7 linked regions of the Nothobranchius furzeri genome follow. The protein of the gene in region 7 purifies or fractionates together with the protein of the main gene of each other region. This does not show direct contact. Links are inferred from orthologs where the notes say so. Each region holds a gene or a part of one and is shown on either strand. Other genes may lie near its edges.

Region 1 (4,074 bases), on a different chromosome or scaffold from region 7:
TTCCATTTAGACAACCGCGCCTCCACCTTCTCCAGCACCTTCTCCCAGTTCTGTTTCTGAAACCTTTCCCTACCCAAGTACATGCCTAGTGTTTTAATACCTCCCGTTCCCCACCTCAACCCTTCTGGCAGAGGCGGGACATCACCAAGGTCCCACCCCCCACTACACATGCCTCACTCTTGTCCCAGTTAACCTTAGCTGAGGATGCTTTCTCATGTAAACGTAAACTAGATCTGAGTTCTTGTACATCCTGCTGATCATGGATGAAAACATTCACATCATCTGCATAAGCAGACACAACTAAGGGAGGACTGGAGTCAGGTAAAGGTAGGTGTACACCTTTCAGCCTGTTCCTCAGCCGACACAGCAGCTGTTCAATGGCTAAAATATACAGTTGTCCTGAGATGGGACAACCTGTCTGATTCCTCTTAGAACTGGTGGGTTGGCTCAGGCCCCCCGCTACCTTCACCATACAGCTGACATGACATGACAGCATCTTAATCCCTTCCAGGAAGGACCCCCCAACACCAAAGGCCTGTAGCGTAGAGAACAGGATCTCATGATCAACCCTATCAAACGCCTTTTCCTGATCAATAGAAATGATACCTGCGTTTACATCATACATTTTACAAACATCAAACACATCTCTCATTAAAAATAAATTGTCCATTAATGACTTTCCTGGTATACAGAAGGACTGATCGTCTGGGATTAGACCTCTGATGAATCCCCGAAGTCTATTAGATAGGAACTTAGAAAAAATCTTATAGTCTGAACACAACAAGGAAACTGGTCCCCAGGTTTTTAGTTGGGTTAAGTCCCCTTTTTTCGGCAGCAGGGACAGAACGCCCCAACTACACGATGCAGGAAGTGCTCCTGTCTGAAGTGAGTCTCTAAAAACATCCATCAGGTCCTGTCCAATACTGCTCCAGAAGAATTTGTAGAAGTCAGCGGGTAAGCTGTTCATCCCCGCAGATTTACCTGCAGCCATCTGGGAGACTGCCGTTGTAAGTTCCTCCATGGTTATGTCTGCATTTAAGATTCCCTGGTCTACTGTGGTCAAGGAAGGAAGCCCCTGCAACAGCTCTCTGGCACAGTTCACATCACATGGGGCGGCCTTAAATAGGCTGGTATAGAATTCTACTGCATGCTTCCTCATCTCCACTGGGTCTGTGGATAACTGTCCATCTGACAGACGCAGGCCAGCCATTTGTTTTTTCTGGTTTGAAGTCTTTTCCAGGTTAAAAAAGAAGGATGTCAGAGCATCCATGTCCTGTATTGTGGTGAGACGAGCCCAGATCAAGGCGCCTTTGGCCCTCTCTTGCAGGAAATGCCCAAGCTGCTGTCTTTTTTTGGTCTAAGGTGTGCTGTTGTTGAGTAGTAGTCTAGCACCCTGATGTCCTTCTCTAGATCTGCCATAGTCTTTCTTATTTGGTTTGTAGACCCCCGCGTGTAATGTTGACAGAAAACTCTAATTTGTGCCTTCCCTTGTTCCCACCATTCACTGATGGTCTTAAAATCATTCTTTTGGACCGCAAAGCCTCCCAGAACAGCTTAAAAATGTTGCAAAAGGTAAGATCGTCTAATAACTTTATATTAAAGTGCCAGTAGGATTTTGTCGTCCCCAACAAAATGAAGCATCAGTTCAGTTAGAGAGGAGAGAGAGAGAGAGAGAGAGAGAGAGAGGGAGAGAGAGATCCTTAGGCAGTGTTTGTGAAACAGATCCTTTGGAATTTGATGGAAAATAACTCAACAAGCTCGAGCAAATGCCTTATTCCACACACACGCACACCTGCACACACACACAAACACACACACACGCACGCACACCTGCACACACACACACAGTGCTATCAGCTGCTCTGCTGAGCTGACTGGCCAGGTCTGCTGGAATGAAGCCACCAGACCCTGGCTGACATTGGCCTTCATGCAAACAGCCTCCCGGAAGGGGCGGGCTGCTCCTTTAAACCCGCTGGAGCTTCATGTAGGCCAAAGACAAAGAGTAACATGTCACCACCAGCACATATCACACACCGTGTTACAGTAATATGTGTGGGCTCACATGATAACATCTTAATTACTGTAGTGCTATGGAACCGGGCGGCCCGGGCCCAGGCTGTTACAACCATTAACATGGAACACCGGAGCAACGACTGGGAACACCAACATGCGTCTGACATACTTACAGGGATAGACATTTTGCTGCAGCTGTCCTATTGCGCCTTTTCCTGCCAGTTGCGTCTCTAGCGGGTTTTATGCACAGCTGCGCTGGCGTCAGCCGTTCGTGGATTCCATGGAAAAGACTCCTGGTAGGAAAGGAAAGCTCCCAGCGGGAGGAAGAGGTCGGGATTTGTCTCAGTCCAGCTGGACTGCTGCGTAAAAATGCGCCTCAGAGGCGCAGATCTGCAGCAGCGGTAATGCGATCGTCCGTATGACCCGCAGACTTGACGGTTCTCGGTCCTCCCTCAAGTCACTCTGCCTCGGACTCACCCCCCACGGACGCGCGGCTATAACAGCTGGAGCATGAAGCAGCTGCGGCTGGAGGCCGAGCGGAGCGGGTGGAGCACAGCTGGCTGCTACCGTCCGCCCACCACAGGCTGGATCCTGTCCGCTTAAAGGGCCCGAGCCCCCCTCCCATCCACCATCTTTGTGTGGTTTGGGGCTACTGAGAGACGGGAAGCTGATTAAGAAGTTCTGTCCTAGCATGTCCCCTTGACCCAGCTGGGGGTGGGAGAGAGGACTCTAGTGAAAATAACATCACTGTTGGACAGTGTCCTCCATCCCATGCATGAAGCTGGTGTGGAGCTGGAAGCTCCTTCAGTGCCAAACTGCTGCATCCTAGGTCCATCCTCCCAGCAGATGTTGGACTTTATAAACACCAGTGCTCCCAGCAAAACCAGTAAACAGTCTCTTGCATTCCTTCATTCCTGCTGCTTTTATGATTTCCTCCTTCCAATTATCCTCTGTCTGCTTCTTTTTCAGCACATCCTGAGCTCCTTCAAAGGAGTCTCCTACCATCTTTACGCAGATGACATCCAACTGTACATCTCCTTTAAGCCCCATGAGATGTCTAAGCTGCAGCTGTTACACACCTGCTTAGACTCTATCAAAACCTGGATGGCTGGGAGCTTTCTACAGCTGAATGAAGATAAGACTGAGATCCTCATCTGTGCCCCAAACAAGCTGGTTCCCAAAGTCAGAGACTCTCTTGGTCAGCTTGCTTCTCACACCAAACTCTCTGTCAGGAATCTTGGCATGACCTTTGACCCAGTTCTCACCCTGGATTCTCATGCCAGTTCTCTTTTTCGCTCTTCTTCTTCCATCTCAGGAACATTGCTAAGCTGAGTCCCATTCTGAACTTGAGACTTCTCCACACCTTCATCTCCTCACGCTTAGACTACTGTAACTCTCTTTTCACGTGTCTGAGCAGAACCTCCCTGAACCGTCTACAGGTGGTTCAGAATGCCTGTGCTCGGCTTCTGACCAAGTCCTCCAAACACACCCCCATCTCCCTGCTTCTCCTCCAGCTTCACTGGCTGCCAGTCAACTTCAGGGTTCATTTCAAGATCCTGGTTCTGGTCTATAGGGCCTTACATGGACAAGCACCATCTTACATTGGTGATCTTCTTAGTCCCTACACCCCCAGCAGGTCCCTGAGGTCCAGTGATCAAAGCCTACTGGTTGTGCAGCACCAGGCTAAAGACCAAAGGTGACAGATCATTTGCTGCTGCGGCCCCCAGACTCTGGACCTCTCTCCCCCTGAGATCAGTGGACTCAGTGGTCTCCTTTAAAAAGCAGCTGAAAACTCACCTGTCCAGGCTGGTTTTAATGTCACCTTCTGCTGAATCTTCACTAGTTTCTCTTCATGCTGGTGTTTGTCAGTTCTTTTTCATGTTCCTGTGATGACATTTTCTTTTTTATTCACATTTTTCTGAACTGTTTCCCATTTCTCCCATTTTTATTATATAACAATATATATTTAATTTTTTTTCATTTATTTTATTTTCTTGTGAAGTGCCTTGTAGTTTTTATCTAGAAAAGCTCGATACAAACTTTCTTCTTCCATCAAAGTTG
Region 2 (3,185 bases), on a different chromosome or scaffold from region 7:
TGGTGAAACATTTGCTTAGAATCAGATGAGTAAACTTTACCGACATAAATGTTTCTGTAATAAAGATCTAGATTTATACTCTGAAGCAGAAAACCTTCTAGACACAGGATTTACGTGCCTCAGGGCAGCTGTGGCTACATTATAGCTCATCACCAGCGTGTGAAAGTGTGTGTGAATGGATGAATGGCTGATTGTGTTGTTGTGCACCTCGGGGCGGTTGTAGAACTATAGAAGGTGCTATTTAAATAAAGGCCATTTACAATTTTTACCTAATAATTATAATAAAATGCAGATGATCAAAAAGAAAAATAAATCATTAATGTGTTGATGTGACCCAGTTTGTCACTAGCACGTGTGTATGTGTGTGTGTGTGTGTGTGTGTTTTAGTGCACCGGTTTTCCATGGTTATGCCATTTACCTTAACAGCTCCACTGTTAGCTTCGATGTAGATGACGTCTCCCACCTCCACCCGCTCTTTCTGAAGACTCTCATAAATGCTGGGATCCAGCTGAACAAACACAAAAGCATCATCAACATTTAATGATTTTGTTCAAAACTGATTAAATCGGACTTCTATAAGAATGTAATAACAGAACTCAAGTATGCAGCCTAATGAAAACGGATTTTTCATCTTTAACCCAGAAACCTGGAAACCACTTCTAAGTCATCTTTATCTACATTACTAATCATCATCTCACTGTTTGTACACAAAACTGTCAGCAGCAACAGGTTATTTGACTCTCGGTGATGAAAGAACTACAGATGCAGATTTGAACCCCCAGTCTGACCTTCAGCTGCTTTGTGCCTTTGGCCGTCTTCAACCCGATGATGACGTGACTGATGGTTTTCCCGTAGCCGCCCATGGGATTCTCCGTCTCACAGGGAGTCAGCTCCGTCACCTCGCCTTCATACACCTCCTTTGTTTCTTTGATGCGCAGCCCTAAAGGAGAGCGGCGGTACAGTCGGACCCAGACACGCTTCAAAATGAGAATTCAATCAGGTCTTTATGCTCCTGCATCGGCTAAGCCTTCACATCTTTCAGACGACCAAATAATGGATTTTATTACAGGAAAGAACGTGCGTGCGTGTGTGTGTGTGTGTGATGCCAGTGCATCACTCAGTGTAACATGATCACACTCCCACACAGAGTGGCGTGTAAGCAGCACAGGTGCCTGCTCCTCTGTGCTGAGGGTCAGAGGGCGGTTTTTAAAGCAGACCGTGCAGCAGAGCCGTTAGTGACAAGGTGATGAAAAGCTGCAGATGCTGTTGTACGGGTGGAGCAAGGGTGCTGATGACCACCTCTGCTTCTAGTTAAGCTCCATTTCCTCTCCACTCGACAGGTACTATCAGCAGTCAGACAAATCCCTTCCCTTCATCATGTCTCCCACATAAATCCCTCCCTATGAATTGGACACTACCTGCCACCTTGCAACACAACAGAACAAGTCATTCTCTTTTCATTTTCACTCAGTTCCTTAAAGCTGCAAGGAAACTTTGTTTCTGACCTCAAGCACAGCTAATGTTTAGCTAGTTGCCTTTGCTTCAAATCAAAACAGAAGTTCAACCCAATACTGAAAAAGTCCGAAAAGTCTGATCATTTCCTCCATGAACTGCATAACTAAGTTCATAAATCCGATTCCACTCACCGATTGCTCTCCTGAAATTCTCCATCAGTACTTCTGTCTTTTTAATCTCAGTGGAGTAGACCTCACTGCCCACCATGGGGCAGAAAGGCACTTTGTTTCCCAACTCCTGAGCCACAGCAAGAGCGAGGGCAGTCTGCAGGGGTCAGAAGTCACAATAACCATAATAACAATAACAACAAAAGCCATGCTTGGTGCAGTTTCAGACGGTAACTCTAAACTGTTTAAACTACGGTTAGACCGATTTATCAGGACGATATTTACAATTTTTTTTATAAATGATAAATGACCCGCACTTGCATCAATCATCCATTCACTTCACACACACATTCACACTGATGGCTGTTACACCTCCTTAGTAAAGCCGAGTTAAAGTCAGGCACATCCCCGGGCAGCCTGGTGCTGCTGCACAATTTTATTTAACTGTTTGTTTACATGATTGCTGAATTACATCTCCTAATAAATGCTCAAAAAATATTTTCAACTAGGATTTCTAATCTACCAGTTTTTAATATTTAAGACTTGGTCAGTTTACTAATTTGTTAGATTATTTTAGTAAGATGTCTGATTTGAACACCGAGCAGTGCACAAAATTAAGATTTAACAGCTGGTTAAACTCAGTGTTTTGTGCATCAGCTGTTGTTTTTGTAACATTTAGCAAAAACATGAGGTGGAAAACGTCTAGATATCGGCTATGAAAGTCGGTCCAAAATATCGGCAGCACAAATCAGCCATCGGCTAACTGTGACATTTACCTATTGGCAATAGAAAAGCCAATATCGGTCAACCTCTACTTTAAAACGCTGCACACTAACCTTTCCTGTTCCGGGTGGGCCTGCCAGTAAAACCGCCCTTCCTGCCATCTTTTTGGAGCGAATCATCTCAACAATGATGCCACAAGCCTGGAGAGAGAGAGAGAGAGAGAGAGAGAGAGAGAGAGAGAGAGAGAGAGAGAGAGAGAGAGAGAGAGAGAGAGAGAGAGAGAGAGAGAGAGAGAGAGAGAGAGAGAGAGAGAGAGAGAGAGAGAGAGAGAGAGAGAGAGTGAGAGAGTGTCACTACGATGTTTATCCAGAGCTGTGTAAGGGTGTGTATAAAACAAATACAATCACATTTAAAAAGCAGATATGAAATGGGAAACAAACAAAATTTAAGTAATCTGGTGATCATTAAAGTCAGCTTTGCTGAAAACCCACAAGAATAAGGTGGTAAATGTTAAAACAAGCTAAATATCTTTTGGTGATATTCACAAACTTTTTACCAGGGACAAAAAAAAAGTTGTGTAATTTATTACATGTATTTCTAAAATGACAGTTGTTTGTTTATATTGCTGAACATCAAGAGGAATGATGGAGCGTCCTAAAGCTGCATGTGTTTTCTCTGTAAACGATTGAGAATTTGTCTTTGAAACGAGGAATTATTCAGACATCAGTGTGCAGAATATAAATATAAAACCATTTTTAATTAAAGTCTTTTTCCCCTCAAACCATGTTTTGGAACAAATCACACCAGTAGAAAGTTGACTTGAGTGCATTTGGTGAAATG
Region 3 (3,298 bases), on a different chromosome or scaffold from region 7:
ACCAACAGAACCCGACAGTTTAAACCCCCACCCATCCCCCGGTGGGCTCCGGCTCCGAGGAAGGTTTTCCAAGGAGGAAACCGTTAGAATTCCAGACAAGAGCACCACCTGTGTGGTTTATGTACTTGCTGCTTACTCTGATGGTGTGGCTAAGTTAGCCGCCAACATGGCTAACATGAGGTCATACGTGTGACCATACAAAATAAAATATTTTATGGCAGCCCACTTTAAAGCTCCTAAAGATGGATTAGCATAGCACCACCTGACGGATTGGACACTTGTTAGTTAGGATTAGTTTCAACTTTAGAAATGATTTGTGTGGTTTTGCTTCTCAGACAGATGCAGATGTGCACAGCTGGAAGCAAACAGCCAAGATTTGAAAACCAAAAACGGAGGCTCACCAGTTCATGTGATCACTTCTGTTTTAGACAGGCACACACACACACACACACACACACACACACACACACACACACACACACACACACACTTATTCATCAGGTTTAACTACAGCGTGCCACATCATGTTTGGTGCTCGTGAGCATCCGCGCCCCTTAGGTTGAGGACTGATGCGTGAACAGAAGGGGTGAACGTTACCACAAAGAACTGGCAGAGGGTGATGTGGGGGAAGATGTTGTGGGCCTTGTTCTTGCCACAGGAAAGGCGAGACTGCTTCCAGAAGTGTGAGAGCTGCTGGAGCAGAGGTCCGCTGGGTCGCAGGTATAACACATACTCTCTGGGCAGAGGGTCATCCAGGAACGGGTCGTCCAGGTGGGAGAAGAGCCTGGACATTAGGAAAAGACATCAGACAGTGTCCAGCAGGGGGCAGTGATGCTGAGTAACTGCTGGGTTATTTCCTTTAGAACAGCAGTTTGGGTTCCTGCTCGGTTCTAACATGAGAAATTAGTTAATGTGTCTCACCAGTCACAGGCTGCCTGGACATTTTTGCCTCCTGTTGACACTAAAGCTTTTAATCTGAAAAGAAGAAAGAAAGAAAGATGAAATCAGTCACAAAATCAGCAACTTCTGCTCCAGACCTGCTTATTTTTCTGAGTAAACGTCATCTTTCCACATGACTAAAACCAACTGGCCAAACGGAGGAAACACACAATCATCGGTAACTCAGCTTCATTATTCAGAGGTGCACGAATCTTCAGCTCAGAAAACAAAGCTGATTGTCTCGAGCAGGGCCGTGCAGAGACCTTTGACGGGGTGGGTGCTCAAAGTAAAAAAAAGGGGCACTTATAGAGCAAAACTTTTAAACAGATTCACAATCCAACAAGTTAGAAAACAGAAAATGAGACCCTTGGGTTCAAACAACATAATAAAAATATATCAATTAGTGTAATTAATGTTAGTGTTAATGTTAATTAATAAATAATTGTTTTAGTTTATAAATCTGACTTATATCTAGATATGTTACAACCACATTTCTGCCCCTGATCCGAGTCCAAGTTGTTTGATTATCTTCCAATACTGAGTCCTGTTCTGATACCTGGTGGTGATGCAATGAGTTACAAAAGAGGAAAGAAGTCGTCCTTCTGCCATTGTTTTAGCCTTAAAAGTCACTCATTCAGGAAGTAAATTTAACAGTATTCAAGATAATTTATTGCTATTGCACAGGTGTACAACCAAATTGACTTTGCACTTACTAACGACAGCTCTAGTAAGAGGTAGTAAAATAAATGCAAACACAGAGGGTTATCCAGTGTGATCTACAGCTATGTTAGCTGAGATCTTTTTCCTGTCAGTAGAAAATTCTTGATCCCATTCCATGATCTCACTGAACTTACCACTAACCATGAGAGCTCTGCTACCAACCTAACAACACCCTTTACACAAAGGCACCATCATCACATACGTGGCAGGAGTCTCAGATAAACTTAGAAGAATCTTCTCCAAACACAACATCCCGGTAAACTTTAAACCCAACAACACCCCTCACACAGAAAATGGTCCATCCAGAAGACAAAACACCCAAACAGAAGCTCAGTGGCGTCGTTTATGCTGTCCATTGTAGTGAGGACTGTCCAGATCTTTACATTGGGGAAACAAAACAACAATCACACAAGAACATAACCTTTATGAACACAAATGATTTATGGGAGACCTTTCAGTCAGAGTTCAGGGCAGGTCACAGCACTGAATCTGCTCTTTTAATGGTTTTTAATGACACGTTTTTAGCCTGTGACATGGATAACGATGTTGTCCTACTATTGCTGGACTTATCTTTTGATACAGTCGACCACGAAGTCCTTCTGGACCGACTACAGCATTGGGTGGGGATAACTGGGCAGGCCCTCCAATGGATTCGCTCCTACCTTCATGACAGGACATTTAGTGTTCAGATGGGTGAGGTGATGTCAGCCTGCATGAGACTTTGTTGGGGTGTGCCACAGGGCTCTGTCCTTGGTCCTCTCCTATTTGCAGTGTATTTTCTTCCTCTTGGAGTCCTCCTTCGTCGGCATAATGTGAAATTTCATTTTTTTGCTGATGACTGCCAGATCTATCTCCCCCTTCGAAGTGGGGAGGACAGATCTGTTTCTCCTTTACTGGACTGTTTGAAGGACATAAAATGTTGGATGGCTTCTAATTTTTTTGCACCTAAATGAGAGCAAAACGGAAGTCATATTACTTAATCTTGGCAGAAGAAATGGCTCAGGTGCTGATATTGACCTTGGCCCATTGACCCCCTATGAAAAGAAAATAGTCAGTAATTTGGGGATAAAAACTGAGTCCTCACTTAATCTTGACACTCACGTAAATACGGTGGTGAGGTCCTGTTTTTTTATTATCTGAAACAACTATCCAGGATCAGGCCTCTGCTGTCCAGAGCTCATCTGGAGTCTGTGTTGCATGCTTTTGTCCTGCCCCGTCTGGACTACTGTAACGCTCTGTATGCCAGTCTGGGCCAGTGCATGGTTGCACAGCACCAATTTGTAAAGAACTCAAAGGCTAGGTTCCTGACAGGTACTAGATGCCAAGATCACATTACCCCAGTGCTGGATACTCTGCACTGGCTCCCGGTGCAATATCGAGCTACATTTAAAATCTTAACTCTCGTTTATAAGGCCCTCCAGGGCAGTGCCCCCTCTTACATTACTGCACTTTTGCACAGGTATGCTCCATCTCGGTCTCTTCGCTCAGCCTAGCAGGGACGCCTGGTGGTCCCCCGGTCGAAATATCGATCAAGGGGTTATCGTGCATTTTCTGTTTTTGCTCCAACTCTGTGGAATGAATTGCCATTGAGCATTAGGCAGGCGCCGTCCCTTCAAGTCTTTAAGTCTCGTCTAAAGAC
Region 4 (3,973 bases), on a different chromosome or scaffold from region 7:
CCCCAGTCATGGACCTCACCACACGTCACTGGTTCTGTCCTTAGGAATCACGGCAGTCGTACAAAATACTGGGACGTCCCGATAAACCTTTTCACTTCCAATACCGTACCGATATTGCAGCCTTCAATACTGACCGATACCAAGATCAATCTGATAAGGTATCGGCACAAATCATCCATACTTCTACCTGTTTTGTTGTGTGGAACGTACAAAAGGTTTGATCGAGTGACATCACTCAAACAGAGATCCAGCAACAGCAGCTATGAAAAAAGCAACCATGTTATTAACCATTGGTTGCAGACATGTGAACCTTAAACATGACAATGACACGCAGCGGTTCTGTTCCACCACGGGAGACCTGTGCATGACAAGTGTAGCACTGAGCCAAACTGTCTTTTTAGACTTTAACAGGAAATACACTTTTGATGCAGTCCGATATAATCTGATACAGTACTTGTGGGACGTTATTTCCGATATCGATAGTGGAACGGGACTTCCCTACAAAATACTGGAGGTAGTACTTTACGTTGTGGCACTGTTGCTTCAGCTAACTCAGGTAAAACCGCAGATTTTGTGGTCAAACTTATATCAGCCATGATTCCATATAGTTCTACGGAACATGTTCATTGAGATATAGATTACAGTTGTACTTTTAAAGAGGGTGTACTCATTTACACTGAACACCGTGACTTGACCTGAAGCTTTAGCAGCATTCAGGTTGTCACGATTCAGTGTTGGTAGGACCCAAAATGCAGTACCCAGGATGAAACAAGGCAGAAGTTGGTTCAAAGTAAAAATCCTTTTATTTGCAGGATAAAGGAAACAGAAATAAATCTAAGGCAGCGTGCCAAAATCCAAAAAGTCCTGGAGCACAGGCAAGGACGTAATTTTCACTTTAGAAGTGTGTGTGTGTGTGGGGGGGGGGGGGGGTATCTTTACAATATGTTCTAAGGGGAAACAGGCTTCAACACAAACGGTTGCTTTCTGCTTGGTCCTAGAGCTCAACCAGTGTCAATTTAATATAGCGTAATATTGTTTTTGGATGGTAAAAAGTGCAGGGGTCAAAACTTGACTTTGGAAAAAGTGGGGGGGACATGTCCCCCCTGTCCCCCCCCAAAATTACGTCCATGAGCACAGGACACCCAAAGCTCTCTTAGAGAACCAAAAACCTAGAGACCAAAAGCTCAACCAAGAGCACGAAGACCTGGAGACTATAACCTCACACTGAGCACGGGCAAATGCTGACAACATACAAACAATGGACCGACACCAAACAGAGACAAGACAGGGCTTAAATACACAGGGAGAACAATTAAGGAAACAGGAAACAGGTGTGTGTGGAGTGAGGGCTGGAGGGAAGGCAGGTGACACCAATTATCTAAATGGGGGAAACAGAACCAATGGAGGGCAGATAACCTCAAACCCAAAACTAAACCTAAAACTGAGGGAAGGACTCACACAAACACATACACACAAACACTGAGCACAGGAATGGCACAGGACCTGGGAGGAATTGACTTTAAAGCCTACAACATAAGACACCTAACTGACACATGACAAGGACAAGGACACATGAGGGCACCAAGAGACACAAAAGGGAATCCGGAGGGGATGGAGAAAAGCCAGGAGGCACATGAAGGAAGGGGCAGACGCAGACCATGACACAGGTGTTTTTAGGGTTCGGGTTCGAGCCTTAATGGTTTAGGCGAGGCAGCTGTACACAGAGGTAATTCCATGTGCTTTCCAGCAGCAACAATAACAAGAACATTAAAGCGGTGTGACAGAAAATGTCATTAAAGAACACGTTAAAGTGAAAGGGTGAGCAGTTACACTGCAGAACATTTAGAACAGCAAAGATAGAACCATGCAGATGGGTTCCACCGCGAAAAGACAGACACAGCTGGAGCGAAATCATCTTCCACAAACTGGCAACACAAGTTCTTCTGGTGCGCGCTGACCCGGGACAACACGCCGCTTTTATTTACGACTGCTGTTGTGTTGTTCTTGTCCACTTAGGAATAACTGTTGTTGTCACAGCTGCTGCTGAGCTCTACCACCATGCAGGACCTTCTGCCTGGTGTGCCCCTCCCTAGGAGAGCCCCTGGTCAGGCCTGAACCCCTCTGCGGTGCTCGGGCCCCCCCGGGGGCCCCGTCCCACACAGGCTCCTCTCTGATCAGCTGCTCTGGCTAAACTTCTCATCTGAACCGTTCCTGGGTCTTTAGACCGTGTTCTAGAGCAGCAGATGGAGCTGCTGAAGTTCCACTGTCCTCACACACCGCAGAACCAACACTCTCATCATGTGTGTGACACACACACCTCTATGATCTATCAGACACACTCCGCCGCTGCGCAGACCAGACCAGAACCAGCAGAACCCACCGTGACTTGTGGCGGAGACTCTCTCCTCAGAGGAACGGAAGGAAGCTCTGAACAACTTTTCGGAGCTTCTCCGCGCGGCTCCTCTCGGCTTCTCGAACAATTCCAGATCCCGGATTTTTACAACCGTCGTCGTGGAGCGGAGAACCGAAGCCGAACTCCGGGAGAGCCAGAGGTGTTCCGAACCGAACCGTCTCCCCTCTGCGTGGCTGGCGCGGCGCGGGAGCGAGCTCCACGGCATAACAGGGCGGCCAGGAAGGCTCGTGAACGCGCGTCACCTAAAAGACGTTAAACTGACTCGGATGAGATTTCGAGACTTACAAGCGCTCACCTTTAACCGTTACCTGGACAAATGTACAAGTCAGCACACAAAGTGCTCCCGGTTCATGTGTAGTTACACCACACTGGGAGGCCTTCTATGTAAAAATACTGGATTACACCAACCTGCTGGAATGGCCTCAGTTGAATGAAATAGCTTTTCCCAGACTCCACACGCTTCCAGGACCGTGCGATTATTATTTCCTCTAACGGATCTTGCAGGTGCTTCTAATTCTAACAAGGGCTTGAGGTTTGCTGGTGTTTGAAAGAGTTTGCATCTTCAGTGTTTGAACCCCTAACTGAAACCAGCACTATGACGTGTAGGCTTAAAGGCCAGGTTAACAGAGAAACCAGTTTTATTTGTGAAAATGATCACTCACTCTTGAGTGTTTCATGCAGGCTGAACATGAAAATAGTCTCCTACACCTATCTCCTGCTTAAGCTTCTGATGGAAAACAGACGGTGAAACTCGAGGATTAGACAAGCTTGACAGATCTACGTCACACTGTCACTAACATTCATGGACTCACCCATCTGGACTCACGACGGGGAAGGCTGTTGGTGGCTTAGCGTCCAGGAAACAGCAGAGAACGTCTGGGCTAGTAGAAGCTACCTGTTAGCATTAGCTCCACCACACAGTAGAACCCCTCCAGTGTTATTTGTGGAGATAAAACATCAACGTTGTAGAGCAAACAAAGTCAGTGGTGGAGTCACGTTGTTGTTAGCCAATTAGAGGAGAGATGTCTGAATATCAGGAAACAAGACTCTAAACCCTGATTTCTGCCACTTTCTCCAGCTGACTTCTATGTTCTCAAACAGAAACATCTGAGCTTTTTCCCCACAGAGCAACTCACGGGGCATTCATTCCTATCAGAAACCACTGCAAAAGCATTAAAATATGACTGATGTTGATCTGTAATGATCACATCGCTAAATGAAGCCACTGGAAAACTGAAAATCCAGATTCAAAGTGATTTTTGTAAAGGTGTAAAAACTTTTTTAAAGTGACTCATGAATATATTATTTCACAAACCTTCACACTTCTGTACATTTCCTTTTCCTGGTTATTCCACCAGGAAAATAAAGACCATCCTTGGTGATTTTCAGACAGGAAAAGATGTACATGACAGTTTGATGCTGAGGGGTGAACCAACCTGAAACGTTAGACATGATGTGAGTTAGGTAAAGATTTTAACAGTAATGTGTTGAGAAAGGCCTTTTAAGGGCCTCCGTTTGAAGAAATAATTAATAGATTGATGAGCTAAAGGCTAGTATGAG
Region 5 (4,122 bases), on a different chromosome or scaffold from region 7:
CTGGAATGAGCTGCCACCATCAGTTAGGCTGTCCCCATCTCTGCCAGTCTTCAAGAGTCGCCTAAAAACACACCTCCTCCGCTTGGCGTTTCCTGAACATGTTTGATTTTGGCCCTCTTTTATGTTGAATTTATTTTACAGTTTTCATTGGTTCACTCTATCCATTGTTTTACACATTTGTCCTGTACTAGAATGTTTCGCCTTTTGTGTAATTTGAATTGCTTTTATTTTTGATTTATTCAATATATTTACCTTCTACTGTACCAAGTTCAGGGCCTTGGGCTTCCTGACAGGGTTGCGGAAGGCACTTTATAAATAAAGCTTTGATTGATTGATTAAATCATTAAAACATGAACTCTGGATACGTTTGGTTCAGAAAACAGATACAATTAGAAATATACAGTTATATAAGGAAGATGGATGGACAACTTTGGTAAAATACATATATTACATAGTCTAGTACCCCCAGCAGAGTTGTGCTTTCTAACAGTGTTCAAGTTGTGATTATGCAATCAGGTTACCAACTCTCAGAATGTTAATGTAAAATAATTGCAACAACAGCTTTACATGATAAATAAACCACAATAAAACTTAAAAGCAGCTCTTCTGCTTTTATCCAATCTCTGAATGCCTTATGTGATAATCCAATTTGATTTTCTGAAATTAAAACTATTCATAGAATTAGTGATGCACTGATTTGAAATATTTGGGCGGATACTGATATCCGATATGAATCACTGTTATGGCTGATAACTGATATTTGCCAATACCAATATACTGACATTAATGCTTCTAAAATCACCAGATTTTGTACAGAATGAAAATTATTAAAGCTGAATTTACGTTATTATGTACACACACCACACACATTTACACTTCTGCGATGATTAAAATAACTGTCACATGACTAAACAAATACACATGACCTCCCTCACCCTCTGAAAAAGATAAACAAATGGAAAGATGGAAAAAATATTGGTTGTTAATATCAGCCTGGTTTTATTTATCGGGCTGATACCGATATGTTAAAAAATGACTTACAAGTGCTGATATCGATATTGATGCCGATATATTGTGCATTCCTACATAGAATTGATAAGTTTAGCGTCTGAGGAGTGAGGACACAACTAGCCCGACATGAAGTTCTAGTTAATGTTTTTGAGAGTATGAATTAGAGTTGAAAAAGTTCCACTATTGAGCCAGCACAAAATGTTATGAAATAGGCCAAGAAAGAATGTTGCAAGCTCCAGCAAGCAGCTTGGATGAAGCAGGGAAGTAAGCAGTGTTTGTTTGCAAGTGTAGGCAAAAGAACTCTGACAGGGATGGGACTCCAAACCAACTCAATCTAAAACATTTAATTCCCGGAAACAAAACATATTGGTTAGTTTGTATTTCAACTATTTGAAAAACAGTTTTTACAATATTTCAGATTGCTAAAAATCACAAACGTGGAATTAAATGTTTGTCCTTAACATAACATTTTGAAACATTGTAATCAAAGCCACCCAACTAAAGTGGCCACTTGAGCACAAAAGCTATTATGGACGTGTCATTCATGTTGTGACTATTTCAGCCACAAGCCCAGGAGTGGGAGAGGTCCAATTAGGAGATCAGAACTGCAACATCCAGACATGTAGTGAGAGGCAGACCCATTACAGAGCAGTCTGTGGTCATCACAAAACAAACTAAATGTGGTTTTGAAATGACTTCATCAACAAACAATTACAAAAAAGGGCTCAACACTGGCTCAGATATTTAATTTCAGGCATGCCCAGGACACAAGTTGCAGCTGATGATTATGAGAGGGAAGTAGAGGAGGGGAGTGGTAGTTTTTGTGGTTGGGTATTACTATTTGCACTGAGTTGCGTGATTATCACACATAACTGTTTAAATTAAACTTAGCTATCATTTTAGATGGTGTAGTTTCACATTACAGGATGTGTTATGTTACAAAGTGAAGATGCAAATACTGGTGAGTCTATCAATCACTGCAGAACACGTGTTCCCAGTACAGTTGTATTTTTGATGTAGATTTAAATTTATACAACAAAGGAACTTGGAGGTAGAGGAACTAGTGTGCACCTAAGATCTGTTAGAATAACACAATAGGAAACACCAGAACATCCCAGTTTAGCCTTAGCTAAAGCTGCTCTTCGCTATGCCAGACAAAAACATCTAATGGCTTTAAGGTGACGTGACTTGTTTTGCTGTTTGCCTCTTTGATTTGAAGACAGGAGTTGGTGGCGTTTCTGTGCGGTTCGGGAGACAATGCAAGGCCGCCATATAAAGGCTGGAAATGGGAGGAAAAGGAAGTGGGCATAGTGTGGCCGCCCCCGCCTCACCTCCTGGGGGATACAGGGAACCATAAGACGGGAAAGGGGGCTCGGATATAAAGGGTCAACATGAGGAAAACGTGGATATTTTGACACAGGAAAAATTAAGAAGTCTAGCTTTAGACTCCTGCTGAATTAGGCTCACCATAAAGTCGCTGCCAAAGTTGTCCTCCCCCCTCTTCTCGTCTCTTTCACTCATGGTCTTCACCCCCTGGATAAACTGTCTCAGGATGCCGGCTTGGTCCATCTTTCAGTCCTCTTAAAACGCTGCCTTTTTCCGTTTAAATATATCTCCCAGACTAACAAGGGGAGGAGAACATTAAAAATAAAACAGCAGAGGACAAAGGAGAGGGAGAAGGGGAAATAAATAAAAATAAATAGGCTTTCACGGGTCCTCCCAGAGAGTCATCGTCGGTCCACAACACAGCACATTTATTTATTATCGCCCCATGTTGTTTCTGCCTTTCCTTCTTTCTTCTGGACTGTTTTCACGACAGCAGTTAGTCCCAAAGAAAAGCTGCAACGGCCGGCTAGCCAGCCCCTCGAACAAGTTTACAACCGCGGCGTGGAATAAACTGTCAGTACGAGGCTCGGCGAGAAAATACAAAATAAAGAAAAAATACCAAAAAACCCGGTCCGGTCAGTCTCTGTACCCCTCCCTGTCTACCTCGATTGCCACATTCACACTAGTGCTCGTTATTCGCTACTGGAGAACATCCGGACTGGGCAAAACCGACGAGATGTAGTCCCGCCTTTTCCAGGATATACCTGTTTCTGATTGGTAGCAAGAGAACGTGTGACAGAATGTTATTGGCTGAGACGGCTGCAGCTCTACCAAACGGCCTCGCGTGATTGGATAAAACTTATGCCTGTTTTTCTCAGTTTATCAGCCACAGGCATCCAACATTCATAGTGGGAACAATCAATCAATCAATCAATAAATAAATAAATAAATAAATAAATAAATAAATAAATAAATAAATAAATAAATAAATAAATAAATAAATAAATAAATAAATAAATAAATAAGATATCCATGTAATGTGTATTATTGTCACTTCAGAAAAATGAACAGACGTATCTCCTTTTAACAAAACAATATAATCAGCAAAAGGTTCAAATCAATTTATTTATTCAGCATGCAGAATTTGACATGAACTGTCCCCTTCCAGCGAATGAGGCTACAATGTTATTACACATATGCTGTAATTCAGTTAAAATGATAATTATACGTTTCAACTCAGTCTGTCATACAATTTGAAATGTATTTGTTTGTAAAAAAAATTCTCTAATAAAAAGACAACAAATCAGAAGTCTCATTTATGATATCACAGCAGACTCTGACACTTTCCACATGGTCAGATTTATAGTGATTTTCTTATGTTTAATTCTCCTTCTTTAGTCCTGGAAGATGGATGTGAAGCTCGCTAAACTCAAAGCCATTTTTCTTCTCTTTGGTTTGATGATGTAAAATTGTTGGGACGGGCAGTACATCTTCCCACACAAAACCTAAAGGATCTTTTGTTGCCTGTTGTGAATAAGTACTTTCCTGGCATCAAAATGTGTCATTAAAATTCCCACAAACTATAAGTGAAATCCATGACACATATCGAACAGGATCAGAAAATAACTTTTATCACCACAGACTCCCATTTATTGTTTTTGATAATAAATGGGAGTGTTTTCTTCGCTTTTTTAGGAAGTGAGTCACATCACAGCTGAGCCTCAGTGGAAGAAGATGGCCGTGACTTTTGTCTGGTAAGAGCATTGCACAGGGAAGCAACAAATT
Region 6 (2,640 bases), on a different chromosome or scaffold from region 7:
AACAACTATTTTGTTGAATATTGCTGCAGAAAAAAGACCAAACATGGCCCTAGCTTGTCAGAATTGTTACATCAGGCACAAAAACAGGTAATGAAGCAATTTTATTAAAAATTTTATATAAATAATTATTCTAATTTTTTGCACCCTTGAGGAAAACAACTATGAGAACACACCCCTGTCTTCTACTCGTCACTGAAATGCATACTCGAGGCCTCTAGCACCTTTTAAGCTATAAAGTATACAAATATACTGTTATAAAAAAAAAACTAAAAAACGTGCAAGACTCAGATAAAAGACTCTGTTTTCAATACTTAAGGCAAAAACAATTGTCATATATACCAATATACATATATCTGAGATTATTATTTCTATCAAAATTGTGTTTTATTTGTCTAGAAGGTTCTGGTAAACACGTGTTATGGTGACTTGCACATACTAGAGATAAAAAGTGCAGAAAGACCACATCAAAGTCATTGCAATGCCTCTAGTGACTAGGAAAGGGAACTTTCTTCCTCTGGTAGTTTGTTTCTGATCACCTGTTGACCTCTAGGTGTTTTCCACTGCAGTGTTGGAATGCCAAACTGAAGATCACAAATAAAAGTGGGTATAAAAGTGCAAAATACGCCAGTGTGTGTTTATTTCACCTTCACCCTGAAACGGCACCTATAGCTGGGACACCTTCCTGGGCAGAGGCCTCGGTCTGGGAACTCGAGGGTCGGCGGTTCCGTCCAGCTTCATGCTGCCTGTGCGGAGCTGGTGAGGTTTGGGTGGCAGGGCTGGCGGGTCCGTTTGAGGGGGGATGGAGAGACTATGTGGCAGCGGCACAGGTCTGCGGGGGTTGTTTCTTTCGTAGACACTGTAGGGAGGTGGGGTCTTGTTCTCCCTGCGGATCGGCTCATCCGAGCTGCTGGAGACAGAGTTTGGTAAGGTGGTAGGTGGGGGTAGTGGGTGCGGTGTGTGGTCTCCAATGGGCAGCTCAGTGCCTGAAGCCTCTGACACACTGCAGCGACTGAGGGAGGAGATGCCACTGCTATAGCTGCCAGACAGAGCGGGGGAGTTGGAGACCAGGCTGGCCGACTGGCACTCAGTTGGCGACGGGGTGAAAGGTGGTACTGCAGTCTGTGGAGAGACAAAACATAACAGGAGTTATGTTTCCTTTTATCTATAGTGCATTTTTCCAGATGACATGTTAAATATATGTTTGGATCAGGAACTTCCCTGTATCAAAGACAAAGTAACCCGTCTGCTACCCACCCCTGGTTTATTTTGCACAAGATTAAAATCTTGACATTTAATACAGTAAATAACTTCAACTCCCAAAGACAACCTTCTCCCAAGTTTCATTTCTGCCTCCAGGGATGAGTAAGTGCAGCTCTGTCAGAGTGCCTACATGTATTTTCTGCAGGTTCTTTGTTGCCCTGGGGTTTGCAGGCTGGTAATGGGCCCCTGGTTGCACAAACTGGTGTGTGTGTGTGTGTGTGTGTGTGTGTGTGTGTGTGTGTGTGTGTGTGTGTGTGTGTGTGTGTGTGTGTGTGTGTGTGTGTGTGTGTGTGTGTGTGTGTGTGTGTGTGTGTGTATGTTCATGCACCAGATAATGGGACCCCACTGGAGATCCACAGAGGATTCCATCGTTTGCTGTGCAGTGATGGGCAGCTTGGTGCTTCGCTCCAGGCCTCATCTTTTTCCACAACAACACACACACACACACACACGCATGCATGTGCACACACACACACACACACACACAAATGTGACAACATGCACACACTCCATCACACACAAATCTGACTGACAGAGCATGCTGTGTGCCAAGCTGTCACTCACACTTTGGTATCTCCTTTCCCATTTTACAAGCAGACCACACACACTGTCACACACACACACACACACGCACAACCTGGTAGCTGTCACACACGAGGAGACATCACACCTGCAGCAAAGCTGGAAGCTTAGCACTGTTTATTTGCAAAATACCCACAAAGATCAAGCAGAAGAGGAGCCTAGATAAGGTTTTCCTCTCATTAAGAGCTCTCTTGGAGCTTACTTAACCTTTCCTAAACCTCTTCTGCTGGCTGGTATTAACTAATAAGAGGCTCATTAACGATAAATCAGAGCTTGGAGTCAAACTGAGAATAATCAGTTTATTTGTAGATGAGAGAATGAAACATAAATAAAAAAATACCCTATGAGGTCAGAGATATTAAACACCCGTTTGAACAGCTTGGTTGATGGAAACTGAAGTCAATGTTCAGAGCGGCATTTATCAAAGAGAGAAGAAAAACAAACAGTTTTTGTAGATGATATTTACAGAAAAAATACCAGCAAAGAAGCTCAAGGTCCTCTGGTATATTAGATTCTCAGTTATCAGGTGACAACCTCCTAGAGGCTAGAGTATATTTAGCTAAAACAACGAATGCCCTGCAGCCAGTCCCGTTTTCTGGAGGCCCTTCTGGGACCACTGACATGACAAGTACTAAATCAGCAACAGTGGAGCTGTTAGCAGCTTCAGTGAGCATTAACGCAAAGCCTCTCCTGACTCAAAGTAGGATAATAACCTCCGATTCGGTGAGTCGTTGGGGAAGAATATAGGAACGAAAGGAAAAATAAAAACCAACAGAAGAGACCTTTTGAGGAGATCTG
Region 7 (4,199 bases):
AGTTTATCTGCAAAATCAATCACAGTATAACCAATAACTACAGTAACGTTGCAGAGAGTTTCTTCACAGCAAAAGTTATGGAGGGATACAGATTTTATCAGGCTGTGTGGCCTCGGCTGCCAAAATGTGTGCCCCCCCCCCATCAATAATGCATTTCATCAGGCCACACAGCCTGATAAAATCTGTATCCCTCCATAACTTTTGCTGTGAAGAAGAAATCATCTTCAAAGTTACTGTACTTATTGCTTATATCGTGACTTATTTAGCAAATAAACGATTTCGTGATAACAACGCCAACAAAAACAAAGTGTAAACCGAGAGTAAATTCACCGGAGAGCGACGTCAGGGTAGCTGCAGATTTAAGGGAGCCAAATTTAAGACTTTTTAAGACCTTTTTTAAGGCCACTTTGACCAAATTTAAGCTATTTTAAAAATTAAATTTAAGCGATAATTTCCAGCTCTTGCCTGGAGCCGGTGCTAACCACGTCGCGAACGTGGGATTAGCCATCCAGTTACCATTAAACTTGCCCTTCCCCATGGCGCAAGCTCCCACCAGCTTAACCAGCTAATGTGCTCATCTAAAAATAGCCCCCTTTCACAACCAACTGACTGCGTACGGTTCCGCTTACGGCAACATCGTACACAAAAAATGCTGAACACTAACTAGAGATTCACGAAATTTTTATAGAAATAAAAGAATCTTGTTTATTGGGTCTTTGGTCATTTAAGACCTTTGGAAACTGGATTTAAGGATTATTTGTAATTTTTAAGGACTTTTAAGGCCTTAAATTAGGAAAAGCTAATTTAAGACTTTCTAAGACTTTTTAAGGACCCGCGGATACCCTGTACGTGTTTCCATGGTCACGTCTGGTTTTACAGTATTATAGTATCAAAGTGTTTTTCTATACAAAGTATTCCCAACGGAGCTGGGCTAGTGCCTCCTCCTACTTTGCGCGCTCCCGTGAATGGGGAAACAATTTTTGACGGGGGTAACTACTTTGGCGCAACACCGGCAGCAACTTCGGGGACAAATTTTCAAGTTTAAAAGTAAGTCAGCTAATTTAAAATGTTTTTTTTTTATATCCAAAGAAGTTATCTATGGTTGGTTAGTTGCTTAGTAGTTGCAGCTTCGGTGGCTAGCGGGTAGTAACTCACTTATATTTTTAATTTAATAAACATATACACAATTTAAAAAGTAAAAGACTCGTTAGATATTTATATTGAAACTAATACGTAGAAAATATAACGTTATCTCCCGTGTCATGTGATGCAAGTCTGTTCCATTTAACCGTTTTCTTTGACCAAGGAAGGACAGTGTCCTCGTAAGCAAGGCGCCTTGACACTGAGAACCACCCTGTATGTCTGCAAAGGGAAAAGGCGATGGCACACACATGTAATGGTTTCTGAGGCCAAAACAGAAATTATAATACAACTCTGGTTAAATGCAAAGCCCTCCGAAAAACAGAAATGAGGGGAAAAAAAAAACCCATCAGCACCACTAACCACTTCTACAGCAAGTTTTTCAAATATTTACATTCACAGGAAAATTGTTTATGATTTCTGCTTCATCAGACTGCGCTTTTAACACTTAGGGGGAACATCTATTCATAGCAGTTAGTTAATATTAATGGAGAACATATGGGTTTGGTCCAAGGGTCAGGCCACAATCTGATAATCCCAACAAACCTTTGAGAACAACAACCAGAGATAAGTGGGTTAACGCAGACAGCTCGAAACCTTTTGCTGCAGGGTTGAACTGATAGTCGCCTTATCCAATTAGCTCGTTTGCTAACAGGTGATGGGGACAGAACTGATGAGCTCACACCCACACAGCTCTACCAAATAAGGCCGTTAAACGTGGACAGCTAGCCAGATGCTGGCAGAGGACTAATAATAATAATCATAACAAACAAGCGTGTTGCAATTCTGCAAGACGCATAAAAATACAAGGCATAAGTTAGTGATGGTAGATAGTTTACTAGTTAGTAATAACGGCATTACGTGGGACACTAACGGTGTTATGAAGGAGGTTTTTTGTCACATAACGAGTTGTTGTATCTGAGGAAGTCGAGCCCTGACTGATAAAAGGCTGCTGAACACAAAGGATCACACAAGCACATTAGCGGTGTCATTAAACATCAGGTCATGAAAATGGATGATGAGACGGAGGTGCGACAGAAAAACAGCTGCCAGTTGCCCAAATGTCTCACCTTCGCGTCGTTTCCCAACTTTAAACACAAAACCCAAGCCCGCACGTCGCGTTAGTGGCGATGCCGCCACCAGAACCCGTCTAAAACCGCTTCCCGTGTAAAGGGATCGAATCGGTTCCAGAGAGTAGACTGCGCCCACTGTTCTAGAACGTTAGCACCCCGGCTAACGTTCGGTCAACAATAACTGCGATGCAGTGTGATGATCAAACTTATCGAACGGACTACATTAGATAGAACAGCAGAAGGCGACGTTTAGAGGGGGTTGTAAAAGATTAGTGATGATTAAAGCCCGATAGAAAGCCTCATGATGGGAAACGGGAAAAAGGAAGAAAACACCTTTTTTCTTAGCGCAAGCTGTTGTTGCTAGCTTACAGCTGCTATCGTGAACTTGACTCTGTGAGAAAACACTTTATTGTACACCACATTTATGCGAAACGGTAACGGCGTCTTACCGCTTGCGACGATCGGTTGGGAAGAATCCACCGTAGGGAACAAAACGTTACCGTGTTGTTTAGCTCTCCCTGCTCCCCATAAGAGACAACCAACAGTGTGTAGCGTCGCTCACAGCCCGTCCTAGGAGCCCGAAGCTAGCTGGTAGCAGAGCGTTTATTTCCGCTTCCTTCTGCCGAGCTGGTGCTCTTCAGACCCGAGCTCCTCCCAACAGTCCATGTCAACCCAGCCACCTCTGTTACCGTTTCATCCACAGCCAGGACACTTTTAAACAGACTGGAAAAACGTTGATATGTGATTATAGGGACTTTATCTGGTGACCCGAATCAGTTCAGACTGAAACTTATGGTGTTAAAAGTGAAATTTGTCCAAAACCTAAAAATAAAGTACCTCTCTGCCAGATTAAAAAAACTGCAGTAAGGGATTAGGCAAACAGACGATAATGTTTGATACGCCAGTCTACAACCAACTGAGTGGTTCACTATTTAGCACATCTGCTTTCAATTTTTGTTTTACGGGAGAGATCAAATGCTTTTAAAAGGCTGCCCCCTAGTGGGAAGATACCATCATGACAACAGCACTGGATTGAGCACAGCTGCCTGCTGTCTGTCGCTGGTGTAGCATCGGGCCGCCATATTGGATGGGTCTCCATTCGCCCCGCTACATTAATTTCTACTGAGGAAGATACTTACTCTCAACAAACAAACAAAAAAACCCCACATTTTATCAAGTTTTGTTTCCACAAAATCAGACATATGGTAAGGCATGACCATTAAAACATAAATATAATTAAACAAAAAAAATTACTATATAAAATACCATCAGGTAGGCTAGAAAAGTCAATAGTAACCACATGATCTGTTTACAATTGTCGCTGGTTGTTGCAAATGAAGGCCGCACAAAACCAGGCATAGTTGCCCACTCTGCATTGACTTCAGTTGGGTTTGGAGAGCGAGGAACCTTTCCAATATGGCAACAATGTTTTTACGCCCTCCAGCACCCAATGGGGCGTCTTTTTCAAACTTCTAGAATAAGGCTCTCACACTTTCATGTTTTTATGTTAGTTACAAACGTTAGTGTTTGTTATTATATTTCTGTGGTAAAAGATGATTCAACACGTTTAGATACTGATAGGACGTTTGCCCTGTTTGTTGTATAAAAAATGTGTTCAGTAAAAAAAACCAATGTGGCATCTACAGATTCATGTCTATGGGATTGAAGGTCTAGTGGAAGAGCAACCACCCATGTGGTAGGAAGTGTGAAATGAAAATTCATGTAAAATATTGGAACAAAACATTTAATTGCAATTTAAAGAGATGTTTCTGTCTTTATTAGTCCTCATTTTATTTTTTTTCATATTGTTTTTACGTTGTTCATTCATCATGTGTAGGGCGAAAACTGAGGCAGAGAAAACTGGATCAATGATGAGTAAATAAAATCACATGAGGGGGAAAATCTGATAGAGAAGAAAATAAATCTCCAAATTATAAAAATAGACAATGAACACATTTGTTTTAATTAAATCAAGATCACCATTTA

The links.
Region 1: the proteins of grb2b (region 7) and bcar1 purify together in Homo sapiens (affinity purification with western blotting; 3 studies listed by BioGRID, with this or other methods). This does not show direct contact. The link is inferred for Nothobranchius furzeri from reciprocal best matches to the Homo sapiens genes GRB2 and BCAR1.
Region 2: the proteins of grb2b (region 7) and ruvbl1 purify together in Homo sapiens (affinity purification with mass spectrometry; 3 studies listed by BioGRID and IntAct, with this or other methods). This does not show direct contact. The link is inferred for Nothobranchius furzeri from reciprocal best matches to the Homo sapiens genes GRB2 and RUVBL1.
Region 3: the proteins of grb2b (region 7) and ubash3ba purify together in Homo sapiens (tandem affinity purification; 3 studies listed by BioGRID and IntAct, with this or other methods). This does not show direct contact. The link is inferred for Nothobranchius furzeri from reciprocal best matches to the Homo sapiens genes GRB2 and UBASH3B.
Region 4: the proteins of grb2b (region 7) and peak1 purify together in Homo sapiens (co-immunoprecipitation; 3 studies listed by BioGRID and IntAct, counting the BioPlex papers as one, with this or other methods). This does not show direct contact. The link is inferred for Nothobranchius furzeri from reciprocal best matches to the Homo sapiens genes GRB2 and PEAK1.
Region 5: the proteins of grb2b (region 7) and ptpn12 purify together in Homo sapiens (affinity purification with mass spectrometry; 3 studies listed by BioGRID and IntAct, with this or other methods). This does not show direct contact. The link is inferred for Nothobranchius furzeri from reciprocal best matches to the Homo sapiens genes GRB2 and PTPN12.
Region 6: the proteins of grb2b (region 7) and dock4b purify together in Homo sapiens (co-immunoprecipitation; 4 studies listed by BioGRID and IntAct, counting the BioPlex papers as one, with this or other methods). This does not show direct contact. The link is inferred for Nothobranchius furzeri from reciprocal best matches to the Homo sapiens genes GRB2 and DOCK4.

The regions. Positions count from the first base shown.
Region 1 is NC_091754.1:40,234,318-40,238,391, reverse strand, and holds the start of bcar1 (breast cancer anti-estrogen resistance protein 1), read right to left. Parts: upstream 2,801-4,074; 5' UTR 2,199-2,800; coding exon 2,187-2,198; intron 1-2,186. UniProt on the Homo sapiens protein: Docking protein which plays a central coordinating role for tyrosine kinase-based signaling related to cell adhesion. Implicated in induction of cell migration and cell branching. Involved in the BCAR3-mediated inhibition of TGFB signaling.
Region 2 is NC_091743.1:48,433,299-48,436,483, reverse strand, and holds part of ruvbl1 (ruvB-like 1), read right to left. Parts: intron 2,546-3,185; coding exon 2,459-2,545; intron 1,780-2,458; coding exon 1,647-1,779; intron 941-1,646; coding exon 789-940; intron 509-788; coding exon 419-508; intron 1-418. UniProt on the Homo sapiens protein: Possesses single-stranded DNA-stimulated ATPase and ATP-dependent DNA helicase (3' to 5') activity; hexamerization is thought to be critical for ATP hydrolysis and adjacent subunits in the ring-like structure contribute to the ATPase activity.
Region 3 is NC_091750.1:47,686,099-47,689,396, forward strand, and holds part of ubash3ba (ubiquitin-associated and SH3 domain-containing protein B), read right to left. Parts: intron 976-3,298; coding exon 922-975; intron 785-921; coding exon 598-784; intron 1-597. UniProt on the Homo sapiens protein: Interferes with CBL-mediated down-regulation and degradation of receptor-type tyrosine kinases. Promotes accumulation of activated target receptors, such as T-cell receptors and EGFR, on the cell surface.
Region 4 is NC_091754.1:44,457,005-44,460,977, reverse strand, and holds the start of peak1 (inactive tyrosine-protein kinase PEAK1), read right to left. Parts: upstream 2,801-3,973; 5' UTR 2,381-2,800; intron 1-2,380. UniProt on the Homo sapiens protein: Probable catalytically inactive kinase. Scaffolding protein that regulates the cytoskeleton to control cell spreading and migration by modulating focal adhesion dynamics. Acts as a scaffold for mediating EGFR signaling.
Region 5 is NC_091741.1:48,575,403-48,579,524, forward strand, and holds the start of ptpn12 (tyrosine-protein phosphatase non-receptor type 12), read right to left. Parts: upstream 2,801-4,122; 5' UTR 2,581-2,800; coding exon 2,479-2,580; intron 1-2,478. UniProt on the Homo sapiens protein: Dephosphorylates a range of proteins, and thereby regulates cellular signaling cascades. Dephosphorylates cellular tyrosine kinases, such as ERBB2 and PTK2B/PYK2, and thereby regulates signaling via ERBB2 and PTK2B/PYK2.
Region 6 is NC_091741.1:52,226,587-52,229,226, reverse strand, and holds the end of dock4b (dedicator of cytokinesis protein 4b), read right to left. Parts: coding exon 2,625-2,640; intron 1,120-2,624; coding exon 664-1,119; 3' UTR 501-663; downstream 1-500. UniProt on the Homo sapiens protein: Functions as a guanine nucleotide exchange factor (GEF) that promotes the exchange of GDP to GTP, converting inactive GDP-bound small GTPases into their active GTP-bound form. Involved in regulation of adherens junction between cells.
Region 7 is NC_091752.1:67,730,130-67,734,328, forward strand, and holds the start of grb2b (growth factor receptor-bound protein 2b), read right to left. Parts: upstream 2,801-4,199; 5' UTR 2,663-2,800; intron 1-2,662. UniProt on the Homo sapiens protein: Non-enzymatic adapter protein that plays a pivotal role in precisely regulated signaling cascades from cell surface receptors to cellular responses, including signaling transduction and gene expression.